2 linked regions of the Bombyx mori genome follow. The protein of the gene in region 1 purifies or fractionates together with the protein of each later gene. This does not show direct contact. Links are inferred from orthologs where the notes say so. Each region holds a gene or a part of one and is shown on either strand. Other genes may lie near its edges. The genes, in order: serine/threonine-protein phosphatase 2A 55 kDa regulatory subunit B alpha isoform and serine/threonine-protein phosphatase 2A catalytic subunit beta isoform.

Region 1 (6,490 bases):
ATAATATGAATTAAAATAAATCCATTAAACCTATTTCTGTAAAAATAAAATTATTTTTGATAGTTGTAAATAGGCAGCTCCATTCTGTGCTGATATTAAATTGTCTAGTTTAAATCAAATCAAATCAAATCAAATCAAAAAATTTTTATTCAACATAAATGAAAGTACATACTTGTTGAACGTCAAAAGAACTACCGCCAATTCACAAGAACTAGCCTCCGTCCTGAGAAGAATTGGCAAGAAACTCAGCGGGCATTAAGGGTCCGTCCCGCTTTTAAAACAGGCACCCATGACTGCTATGCGGCAAAAATAGGCCGAGTGATGGGCGCCTCACCGCCAATTTTTATGTAAATTATAATTTTAGCGGGTTTGAATGGTATTGCATATTGTTATTTCTTAATTGTTGAAGTTGTTTATGAATACATGCTTAGTACGTATTTCATTAGAAAAGTTAGTACCAGCTTTAAAGATAATATAAAGATTTAAAGCTGCATAGTCGCATTGTTCACACGCGTTCCCCCGGACGTCTTATCCTTTATGCCTAGACGACTTCAAAATGGTTCGTGATGGTCAATGGTGAATTTATGCTAGAGGCAGTCAGGGCGAGTGCCCAGGGCGGCAAAATTTTGAAAATGAAAAAAACTTTTTGTGCCTTATCAAGATTGCTCAATATAATTAATTAATTTTATTTATTAACAATTTTCTGTTTAATTGATAATTCAATTCATCCGTTATTCGCGCCCAGTAGTGGCATTAAGTTTAAATCCAGTCATGGTGATAGTTGAGTATTTTCTTCCTAATTGCTCTTCGTTTCTGGCTAAGTGCTTTTCAGCCATTTCTTGTTTTCCGCTCCGCTTTGTGGGGAACGAAGTTCAAATCTAAGTTCTTACGCCTCCTATTATTTTGTAATTTATTTCGATGTTGGATCCGATTCAAATTAGCTTTACTTAATTGCCTCGACGTCATGGTTCAATCTTTTCCTGGTCGACGCTTCAATCATGGCTACACAGGAATTTCAGTGGTGGAAGTGAGCCTGAATATACGTGCGCTTTCGCATTATTCCTAACGATCGTTTAATTTTATCAATTTTCGTATTTTTTTATGACACGAGTTTCATACTACACATTGATAAATATTAGTTCAGAAAAAAAAGCAACCGTCTCAGTTTTTGAACAGCAGTAAAAGTTATATTATATTCACTTGCTAGTCACTGGACTTTTATCTATTAGGCCACAGAAAATTCATTACTAGTGTATATAGTCAAACCATTGAAACTAGATTTATAGTTTAAGTACGGAATGCATCTGAATGAGTACATTATAATTGTCAGCTATTTATAGCATTCAATTACACGGCCGTTTCATTTGCACTTCTTTCGGAATGCGTCACATGTCGCTGTGCCTATTGTACGTGTTTCATTGTTTTAAACCACCCTACAAAACGCGCACAAAAGAGTATATAGTATTACCGTAAGAATATACGCTTTTATGTGTATGGTATAACGAAATTGATGAGAAAACAGGTTGGGAAATGCGACTTTTAATCATCATTTACCTTACAGGCATGCCTTAAAGCTGTACAGGAATAGTGTTCCTAAAATATATATATATATTGTAAAATGTGCATTAATCTCAGACTTACTATGTCGGAGTGTTATTAATAAGTTTTAGTTCAATGAAAATGTTAAAAAAGAAAGAAGTGCCCTGGTATTCAAATCGTCGTATAAGGATACAGGATAATATTGCAAATTGGAGGCATTCATCGTGTCGTCAACATTGGAATACACTATGTGACTGTATGTAGTTACCATGATATGAAACTATCAAATATGTAGTAGCTTCTGGTATTATAGTGTATTGATGGTATATTTTGTAGTGACCGTAAATGAAAAAAGTACTAAATGAAATTAAATGATGGGGTAACACTAGGTACTAGTTTTGTTGAGAGTAAGAATAGTGTTGCAAGAACCTTTTGCGCTTTCTCATATGCTCTCAACTAACATTCCTTCGTTTTAAATTACTGATTACCGAATTTTAATGTGACTAACAGTTTTGTATTGTGTGACCAATAAAACAGTAGAAAATGTCAATATGTTGATATTGTTTTTAATTTTCTATCTTTATTTTCATTTTAACATAACATGGATTTTGGAGGGAATTAAAATTTAATTTTTATATGTAAACATAAACGTTTCCCTTTAAAGTCTATGTATATAAATAACATCATAGTTCCTTTTTATAAATTTATATCTTAGCATACATTGCATTTACAGTTTTATCTTTACTAACATCTATTGATTCCGATATAACTAGTTTTAAGTAGTAGTTGAATAATTTTAATTATTATTTAAAATTTGGTTTTGCATATTTATAATTCACCAGTATTTAATGTATAATTTTAGGTAAGTTAATTCAGTTGTCCACAAGTAATATAGTATCATTGAGAAATTAGCTGGTTTATTGCCCACCTGATATTAAATGGTTACTAGACACTATAAATATCATAATTTGAAAGCCACCACCCACTTTGTGACACAAAGGTCGACCTTTCAGTTGTATTGAAATAAAGAGTAACCTGTCTTTAATTAGACCTCAGTGTAGGGCATTTGGATAGACCCTACACTCAGTATTGGGTGAACACTGGTTGAAGAAGGTAGGGCTTAAACAACTATTATACTTTCACTAATGAAAATTGATATTATTTCAAGTCGATTGTATTTTTATTTTTATTGCTTAGATGAGTGGACGAGCTCACAGCCCACCTGGTGTTAAGTGGTTACTGGAGCCCATAGACATCTACAACAGACGCGCCACCCACCTTGAGATACAAGTTCTAAAGTCTCAGTATAGTTACAACGGCTACCCCACCCTTCAAACCGAAACGCATTACTGCTTCACGGCGGAAATAGGCAGGGCGGTGGTACCTATCCGCGCGGAATCACAAGTGGTCCTACCACATATAACATTTTAAAGAGTAGAGTAAACAAGCTACTGTGAATTCCTTTTCAAAAACAATTCTCTAAAAAGGGGGGTAGAATGTCCTAAATGTAACAGTGTACGTTTTTCTTGTTCTAGGCAATGGTGGGGAGACGACGTGGTGTTTTAGTCAGGTGAAAGGCACCCTCGAGGATGACGTGACGGAGGCCGACCTGATATCCTGTGTAGAGTTCAACCACGACGGCGAACTGCTGGCCACCGGCGATAAGGGCGGCAGAGTTGTTATATTTCAGGTAATTTTACTGGTACTGGTATTTTACTGGTGGTAGGACCTCTTGTGAGTCCGCGCGGGTAGGTACCTTCCACCCTGCCTATTTCTGCCATGAAGCAGTAATGCGTTTCGGTTTGAAGGGTAGAGCAGCCGTTGTAACTATACTGAGACCTTAGAACTTATATCTCAAGGTGGGTGGCGCATTTACGTTGTAGATGTCTATGGGCTCCAGTAACCACTTAACACCAGGTGGGCTGTGAGCTCGTCCACCCATATAAGCAATAAAAAAAAAACAGGTAATATACCTGACATCATATTATTATATCATATATCATTACAGAAGGAGACTCGAACACGAGTAGGTGACACTTTCTCGATATGTATTGTGGTTATTAGTGACTGATTGTATGAAATCTTTATGGCTAGTATAAAGTACCATACGTTTTGAAACTATTAAAGCGTGTGCCTAGCCGACTTAACCTAATAGGTGTATGGCTCTAATAAAGAATTAAAAAAAAATTAATTAAAAAAAAAAAAAAAAGCGTGTGCCGTCTTTTAAATTAAATTTTGATTGATACCAGCTTTATCATCGTGTAAACAGCTGAAAGTGAGAGTCATATATTGCATGATAATCGCATACGATAATCTCGCCGCTTGTATTAGAGAACTTCAATTTTTTTTTCTTCGTGCATTTGTTATTGTATCGACACCAGACGAGCTTGTATTATACGTATGTAGATTATGCTAATATTTAACACTCTTTGTACTAATTTTAAAATCGTGAAGTTTTTAGTCTCGGTTGCATTGATAAAACATGGGTTCCACATCAAGTACTGATGATACTGGAGTTGAAGTTGAGGAATATAAAAAAAAATTATTGACGATACCACTACAAAACCGACAATGAGGTTATATAGTAGGAGCAATAGCCAGATAAAGTATATAAGATGCTCTGGGTTGAAGCGTGCTGAATACATTTAAAATTGATTGCGTATCTAATCATAATGTATCAAAGCTAACATTTACATAACAATGACTGTATGTTGCTGGTTCGTGAGCAAACCTGGGTTGTTGAGAATTATTCTTATCTATATTATGTTTTTTTTTTATTGCTTAGATGAGTGGACGAGCTCACAGCCCACCTGGTGTTAAGTGGTTACTGGAGCCCATAGACATCTACAACGTAAATGCGCCACGCACCTTGAGATATAAGTTCTAAGGTATCTCAGTATAGTTACAACGGCTGCCCCACCCTTCAAACCGAAACGTATTACTGTTTCACGGCTGAAATAGGCAGGGAGGTGGTACCTACCCGTGCGGACTCACAAGAGGTCCTACCACCAGTAATAACGCAAATTATAATTTTGCGGGTTTCATTTTTACTACACGATGTTATTTTCCTTCACTGTGGAAGTCAATCGTGAACATTTGTTAAGTACGTATTTCATTAGAAAAATTGGTACCCGCCTGCGGGATTCGAACACCGGTGCATCGCTACATACGAATGCACCGGACGTCTTATCCTTTAGGCCACGACGACTTCAAAATGTAATTTGGGTTGAATTTTTGCAAGTCGAAATAAGTTGTACAAGTGAAAGTTTTTGAATTCAAGTCAAAGATTAAACACACAAATTCTTGTTTCAAATGATTTGATATGCCACTTCTTATATTCAAAGGATTTAATTTTCTGCGTTTTGTTATAAGATTTTAATACGAGCATCTTGTTCAAATTTCTATCGTTTTTTTTTTTAAATATAATCCATTCAAATAATATGCCATTCTTAAATAATTCGAAAAATCAGGTTTTGTCCTTTAAATCATAATCCGTTGGTGTGTAAAAAAATGTGTTAATGAGAATGCTTTGATGGGAATATAACAAAAACATTCTCTAGAGTAACAAAAAGCATTATACCAAGTTCCATTATCATCCCATGGATGTTGTAGGAAGGTATAGAGGGCAAAAATTCATTGGTGTAGATACATAAGACTAACATAAGCAGATAACAAATATTAATTTGCCAAACTAGATACTACACATGCTTGCTTTTTTATAAATATATTAAAATTCATTCGGTGTGATAAACGGTAGTAGAATAAGACTTTTAGACAGCAATATTGAGACGTTATTGTGTGAAACCTTCACACTACCCACCCGTCTTAAATTAGGAGGATGGTTATATTACTGCATTGTACCCTGCGTGAAAAATTATTTTCCTTACTATTTGTTACTAAGTTCTTGTTCATTGTAACAACAAAAAAACGTTGATAAAATAAATATACAACTACTTGGTAACGATGTGATCACGATAGTTTTAAATCAAGATAAATATTTACGACACGAACGTCGGAAAACGTCGTAAAGTCGATTCTTTGAAGTGAACGCGTGTAGTAACTATTTTTAATTACGTTATCCGTCATCTCTATGAAGGAGGGCCACTGAATTTGAAAGCATTTTTTTTTGTAAGATTATTTCTTCTATTACATGATAATAATATATGCTAGTTGATATATTTACGATCGATTTTCTACAAATGTTGTATAGCTTATTTTACATCAATCACCCCGGTCACCGTCCTCGTCGAACCCGTCGCTTGCGACGAAGGGCTCGACGAGCGAATTAATCCATAGAAACAGCCCACGGAGTTTCTCGCCGGATTTTCTCAGTGGGTCGCGTTTCCGATCCGGTGGTAGATTCTGCGAAGCACTGCTCTTGCTAGGGTCAGTGTTAGCATCACTCCGGTTTAAGCCCCGTGAGCTCACCTACTAGTTGGGTTACTGAAATAGCCTCTCAAGGCTATAAGCTTAGGTAGGGAAAAATACAATCTTGGAAAAATAATTTACGTAGGTCAAAGCACAATCGAAACAGTACCTATAGTGAATTAAAAAAAAAAACAAATTTAGTAGATGAATACATTTTCTCCACATAATTTATCCTTGATATAATTAAATTTCAGAGAGATCCAGCATCAAAGCAGTGTGTACCCAAAAAAGGAGAATACAACGTTTATTCGACGTTTCAATCCCACGAACCAGAGTTCGATTACCTGAAGTCCCTTGAGATCGAAGAGAAAATCAACAAGATCAGGTGGCTGAAGAGGAAGAATCAGGCCCATTTCTTACTGTCCACCAACGATAAGACTATTAAATTATGGAAGGTTAGTGCATCCCTGTGAGTTTCTCTATATAGCATGTTAACGTGTTTATAAAAAACTAGCAAACCGCTCCAGCTGCGCTCGGGTCTTTAACAAAATTTTCAACGATATTTGACGTTGTTTTATTTTTT
Region 2 (7,081 bases), on another chromosome or scaffold:
AGGACATTTTGATAATTGCAAAAAGTGTTTATGTTATGTGAGGCCTGTAACAGTGTCACTGCATTAATATCCTCAATTCAATCTTTGATGAAGCATACATTAAGTATGGTCTGAACAGATATATTGCCTGCCTGCCTGCCTATTTCTGCCGTGAAGCAGTAATGCGTTTCGGTTTGAAGGGTGGGGCAGCCGTTGTAACTATACTGAGACCTTACAATTTATATCTCAAGGTGGGTGGCGCATTTACGTTGTAGATGTGTATGGGCTCCAGTAACCACTTAACATCAGGTGGGCTGTGAGCTCGTCCACCCATCTAAGCAATAAAAAAAAAAAAAAAAAAAAAAAAGATATTTATTAATAACTATGTTATTGATAAACAAATATGTAGTATATCTTTGTATTTACTGGTGGTGGGGTGTACTGTCGGCCTACACAGGTAGAAAGTACTATCCCTGTCTATCATCATTTATTAGGATTAACTTAATGCTTAATTAACCCCAGATGAGCCATGAGCTCATTCACCCATCAATGTAATGAAAATATAATACCAAAATCTGGAATCTTGATGGATGGATGGAATCGTTTACAAAAATTTTGGTCTCCTCAAACCACTAGAAAATTTAACTAGTTAAAAATGAGTCGACTATTATCAAAGGCGGCAATCTGACTTTTGGACAATGATTGGTAAATCAGAAAAACGAATTATTGACTTTGTATTCCATTGGCAGTCACAAAACTCTTCGGAACGACATCTTAGATAAATAACAGGTTAAGTATTAACCTTTATTTAATGCAGGTTTTGAACCGTATTCTTTGAAGGAGACGATTATATTCAAATAAATCTGCATTGACATATCAATAAAAATTTTTTGTCCAAATGTACAGATTGCCGCCTTTGATAATAGACGACTCAAATACAATATTTAATCACATTTTGGACTAGATCCATGTAGATTTTCTAGGCACGTAAAACTAAGGTGGTAGCATTTACAAAAGTAGTGTCTAATTAGAACAAAATTCAAATTATGTTTATCCACACTTTTTATATTATTATATGGGTGGAAGGGCTCACGACCCACATGGTGATCAGTGGTTACTGGAGCCCATAGACGTCTATAACGTAAATGCGGCCACCTACCTTTACCTATGAATTTCACTAGGTCACTGTACAGTAGAATGGCTGTCCCACCCTTCAGACCGAAACACATTACTGCTTCACCAAAGAAATAGGCAGGGTTGTGGTACCTCTCCGTGCGAACTCATAAGACGTTTTACCATTAATTATAAGGTTGTTTGAAATTCTATATTATTTAACTTTTTAACATTCTAATCTTGCAAGCTCTTCAGCTTCAGCAAGCTCAAGCTTGCAATCTTTTTCTTCCAAATTGCTATGTAACAGGATTAATCAAGGATCATCAGAAGTTTTTGTAAGCCAAAAGGATAATGTGTACTCATATCAAGCAAATCCAGGGTTCAATCTCACCAGCAGTTGTCAGTTATTTAAACAAATACTTAGTAAGTATATTACTTAAATGATATCCATGATAAATGATTGTGTATTATATACTAATTACAATCTACAAATTTGCATAATTCCTGGTAGTGGGTTGATTTGTAGGCGTACACTAGTATTTCGATATGGGCGATAGGGCAAGGTAAAGCCGCCGTTGCCCGAAACACGTCTTGTCGGATCCCCCTGATCTACTCTCGGTGTTTTAAGGCTCTTCAAGCACCGGTCATCATTAATCATCAAACTTGCTGATTATGATGAAGAGTTCGACAAGTGAAATAACCCGTAGACACAACCAATCGAGTTTCTTGCAGGATCTTCTCAATGGGTCGCAATTCTGATCCAGTGGTTGCCGATACTGCAAAGCACTGCTCTTACAAGGGCTAGTGCTAGTTCTCCCAGGTTGTACCAGTGGAGTGTCATGTACCCATCCGCGTGTAACTGGAATAGCCCTTTAGGCTACCAGCAAATAAACAGAGATATAAAAAAAAAAGTATTTAATACTATCCTGCATATTTCTGGCATAATGCAGTAATTGGGTGGGATAGCCCTTTGAGATAACTGAAACTTCAAACCTATATCTTAAGGTGTGTGGCATTTATTCCAATATATGTTTACTCCAATAATCAATGAAGAATTTATTGGTCATGATTATTCAATCATCTGAACAATAAAAAAAATCAGTAGCCAAATAGGTAAATATTGTACAGAGGAAAAATGTTAATTTTACACAATTTCATCAGTCTTCATTCTCAGCTAAACACAGTTTTCATCTTAGGTTTGCTCAACACTTATCTACAAATGTTCATAATGTAGAATTTTTTACTTGTGAATCAATTTCAATTATAAAAAAAAATTATGTTATCTAAAGTACATCACAATATGGCACTTTAAACCACATACAAACTAAACAATTCATTTCATTGTCAAACACATATGCAAGATTTTATATGTAGTTTGTATGTAATGTTCACAGATGAGTTGATCTATAAAAATTCTTCATACTCTAAATATCAAAATATTTATTGAGTTTGAAACAAAAAAAAAAACATCATAGGAGCTTTAAGAATTGTTTTTTTCTTTTATCTTCAAGTTATTTTAATAAACAGAAATTTAGTTAGAAAACTTTAATTGAAAAATAATAATTAATAGATGAGCATAGAACTATTTAGAAGTCAAACAATTATAGGTGCTTGTTGGTAATGGATCTTTGTTACTTAAAATTGTATAATTCTCTTTTTGACTTTCTTACTGTAACTAAAAATGTAGAATGTAGAAATAATTACATTAAAATAATGAATATTTGAATTAATTGTTCAGCTGCACCCTCTACAATTGCATTTACATTATATTGTAGGTCTAGGCACTGCAAAATCAGGTCAAAAAAAACAGGTGATGGGAACAACTGTATGATGTTCTGTTTATTTAAAAAAATTATAATAATAAAGATGTTGGTGGAATCACAGAACATGATGCACTTCCTACATTTTTACTCCAGTGACTTAGATGACATTAAAACAAACTTTACATCATAATTCAATTGAACCAACATTCTGTTTATTTTTGTTTAGTTTTTTCTCTTATCTATCATACAAAAAACAATATTCATGCAAACATTTAATAACCTTTCTAACCTATTTAAACAATCCTAAATTGGACATAAAATGGATAATGTTAATTGATTAGCAGCTTCCGTGCATGTCTAAAAATATCTTTCGAACAATTAGAATATTAAGTAACTAACTATGAACAAAAATTGGGTGTGGTAAACAATATCAATAATTTAGAACTAGCGTCGCAATGTTGTAGAGCCCCCATATTTTCAAACGATTACCAAACCAACGACAACCAGCTTCCCAAGACCTATCCGAAGAATACCGATACCCGATAACTTCTTGAAATGTAGGTACATGAATCATACAACTTAAACATTCAAATTACACCTAAGATTTGAATTTTAACTGAATATTAGCGACAATTAGATAAGCGAAACTATCATAGTACATACCTTGTCACATAACGTTTTAACTTGATTTTCTGTCAATTGCTTGCATTCATTTAGCTGTTGTATCCATTGATCTAGTTCTTTAAGCGACGCCTTGTCCTCCATTATAATTATGTGTGTGATTAACGTACAAGACGTTAATTCAAACTTTGGCTTTTATTAGGTATTTAATGTACACAAAATCATGCGAAATAACTATTTTACACTTTTTCAAAAAATTGACTAAAGCGGACACTTTACAAAATGGCGTTTGCGTGACGTCAATTTTCTCAAGAAGAAGAGCTCTAGTGGTCAAAAATGGAACTACCATGTGGTGCCATTTGATTTTTAGCTGCGTTCAGATTTTTTACCTTTTCCGATTAATCATTAAGAATTTAATTTGATATTAACAAATATCTTAAAATCCGAAGGAAAGTCGATAAATATATTTTCGTCAAGGCCTAAAAAATAAGGTGTCTGCTCTACTTATCACCATATTAAGCGATGCGTACATGCTGTGGTGTTCAAAATTCCACAGGTAGTTACCCAAAAGTGGGCACTCGTTATGCAGAATTAAGACTTCGAAGACAAGTCGTCGTGATCTAAAGGATAAGACGTCCGGTGCATTCGCATCCAGCAATGCAACGGAGTTCGAATCCTGCAGGCAAGTACCAATTCTTGTAATGAAATATGTACTTCACAAATGTTCATGATCGACTTCCACGGTGAAGGAATAACATCGTTTAATGAATATCAATCCAGTAAAAATTGAAATTTGCATAATTACTGGTAGTAGGACGTCTTGTGAGAGCGCACGGGTAGGTACCAGCCTGGAGCGTACTCTGCCTATTTCTTCAGTTTGAATGGTGGGACAGCCGTTGTAACTATACTGAGACCTTAGAACCATATATGTATATATATACACATAGGGATGGGTATAAAGAAGTTTTACTTCTTTCGTGTGATAAAGCACGCTCGGTTTTTCGATAACCGTACTCGTCGAACTCGACAAAGAATTCGACTTGCAACCTAACCTAGGCATTAGCTCGCTGAGTTTCTCGCCGGATCTTCTCAGCGGGTCGCGATTCCGATCCGGTAGTAGATTTATTCGTGAAGCAGCTGTTCTTGAGTTTGTGGCGTTCAATAACGCACCTTTTTATGATGCGTACGCCAGAATGCACGAGAGGTAAAAGAATTTAGTCTGTGACACGGGACCTTTTTACCGCCGAAAATTTAAAACGTAAAAATAATTTATAATGTGTTTAATAACTAATGTAATATAATTACTTAGAATTGTTTATGTCGCTACAACAATAAAATTTATATTGTTTCAACTGTGGTGTTAATTATATAAAACACGACTTTACGGCGAAATAAAGAAGGGACTCTATATGAGCTCCCTCAAGTTGTTAGGTCTCCTTTGGAGGCGCTCGAGTAAATCCCACCCTTTCTGGCTGAGCCCTTGTTCGCCCACCTGCCCTGGTAAAACTGGAAAGGCCTCCGGGCCACCGGTAATTTCTCAAATATAAAAAATTGTTTTTTTTTTAAATCGTGCTTCACACTCGGCAGTAGTAGACAGATTTTTCGTTTCGATTTGTGGCTTCAATTTGTCTCGGACGCCGGCCATTTGCCCCAGCGAGTAGTAAATCAATTTCGAGATTTCCATTTAAAAATCACAAATTACCTTATAGTAATGGTCTCTTATTCAACTACGGGATTAATAATTTAGAAAATTGATTTCATAAATCATCGCGATGTTTTACAATCGATGTAGTCGACTAGGTCAACCCTGAAAAGTTGTCGCCTCTTTGACTCGACTGATTTGGGCATCTCTAGTTCGCGGTCGATGGTCGGCCATCACCGTAGGTTTCGTGTTCTTTTAACACGTGCTACCGGACCTGACGCTTCAGGGAGTCGTCGCTCTTCAAACCATTTTCAAAAATGTCTGAAACATTAAAACTCCGAGGAACTCTTAGAGGCCACAATGGCTGGGTTACTCAAATTGCAACTAATCCGAAATACCCGGACATGATCTTATCTTCCTCTCGAGGTAAGTTTGCTAATAAATCCAGATACATCTTTACAATCATTATCTCAATAACCGTGCAAATATGCAATAACCTGGGTTAAATACGTATCAGTTTTCTTGTATACTACCATTTACCAACAAAATAACATGATGAGTAAAACTTTGCCACGCGATTGTTGTGAGCGGCAAGCGGATATGGGGCTGAATATTTTGTTACTGTAGGATCCAATATACATATAGAAAATGAGACATTCGAATAAAATTTGAAATTTATCTTCAGACAAAACTCTCATCGTGTGGAAGCTGACCAGAGACGAAAACAACTACGGTATACCTCAAAAGCGTTTATACGGTCATTCGCACTTCATTTCTGATGTTGTGCTGTCTAGTGACGGTAATTACGCCCTTTCCGGTTCTTGGGACAAGACTTTGCGTTTGTGGGATCTCGCTGCAGGCAAGACTACCAGACGATTCGAGGACCATACTAAGGTGTGACAGAACTCTTAATTTTGTTAGGGTGTAAATGCTGATTATGCACTGAAGATAATCCTAAGTGCCTATGCGAGGCAGAAGACCAGTGTTTTGTGCCTTTGCGAGGCAGAAGATTGTGTTTGTGTTGTAAAAGTCTGAGGTAAGATGGTAGTATAATTATAGTATTGTAAATATACCGACCATCATACAACAGTCTGTTAACAATTCTAAGTGTAGTTGAATTGATAAGTTTTTTGTTTATATCACAGGATGTACTCTCGGTAGCCTTCTCAGTTGACAACCGTCAGATAGTGTCTGGTTCTCGCGACAAGACTATCAAACTCTGGAACACCCTTGCGGAGTGCAAGTATACCATCCAAGATGATGGACACAGCGATTGGGTGTCATGTGTCAGATTCTCACCCAATCATGCCAACCCCATTATTGTATCCTGTGGTTGGGACAGAACTGTCAAGGTTAGTGTACTATTTATGAAAAGGGTTATAAATTGCCTTGATTCCTTCAATGCTTAGATGTATCAAAAGTCTAATCTAGTTCGTTAATTATCGTTTAGCGTTCACAGCTGTTGAAAAATATATTAGGTACTTGTCTCATCCAAAAAAAAAGACTTCCTGAGGAATACCTAAAAGCTAATATACAAATCCTCATGAGCCTAATTATAGATTTTTCATAATTCAAATTTAAGTAAATATGAATGTTCAGCTTTATATTAAAGTTCTAACAAATAAAAAACTTATTCTAGGAATCTGTTTATATAAATCTTAATCAATGGTTTTTTTTGTGCACAGGTCTGGCATCTCACTAACTGTAAGCTCAAGATTAACCATTTGGGTCACTCTGGCTATCTGAACACTGTTACTGTATCACCTGATGGCTCTTTGTGTGCATCTGGTGGTAAGGATATGAAGGCGATGTTGTGGGATCTGAACGATGGCAAACACCTCCACACCTTAGACCACAATGATATCATCACGGCCTTGTGCTTCTCACCCAACAGATACTGGCTATGTGCTGCTTTCGGACCTTCCATCAAGATCTGGGTATGTATCGATTTAATTAATAACTA

What was found.
Region 2: the proteins of serine/threonine-protein phosphatase 2A 55 kDa regulatory subunit B alpha isoform (region 1) and serine/threonine-protein phosphatase 2A catalytic subunit beta isoform purify together in Caenorhabditis elegans (affinity purification with western blotting; 3 studies listed by BioGRID, with this or other methods). This does not show direct contact. The link is inferred for Bombyx mori from reciprocal best matches to the Caenorhabditis elegans genes sur-6 and let-92.

What each region holds. Positions count from the first base shown.
Region 1 is NC_085132.1:3,793,940-3,800,429, forward strand, and holds part of serine/threonine-protein phosphatase 2A 55 kDa regulatory subunit B alpha isoform, read left to right. Parts: intron 1-3,074; coding exon 3,075-3,229; intron 3,230-6,161; coding exon 6,162-6,362; intron 6,363-6,490. UniProt on the Caenorhabditis elegans protein: Probable regulatory subunit of serine/threonine phosphatase let-92.
Region 2 is NC_085109.1:3,344,204-3,351,284, forward strand, and holds the start of serine/threonine-protein phosphatase 2A catalytic subunit beta isoform, read right to left. Parts: upstream 3,804-7,081; 5' UTR 3,621-3,803; coding exon 3,519-3,620; intron 1-3,518. Other genes in the region: Rack1 (receptor for activated protein kinase C RACK 1), read left to right, coding at 5,436-5,544, 5,804-6,012, 6,264-6,470, 6,804-7,055.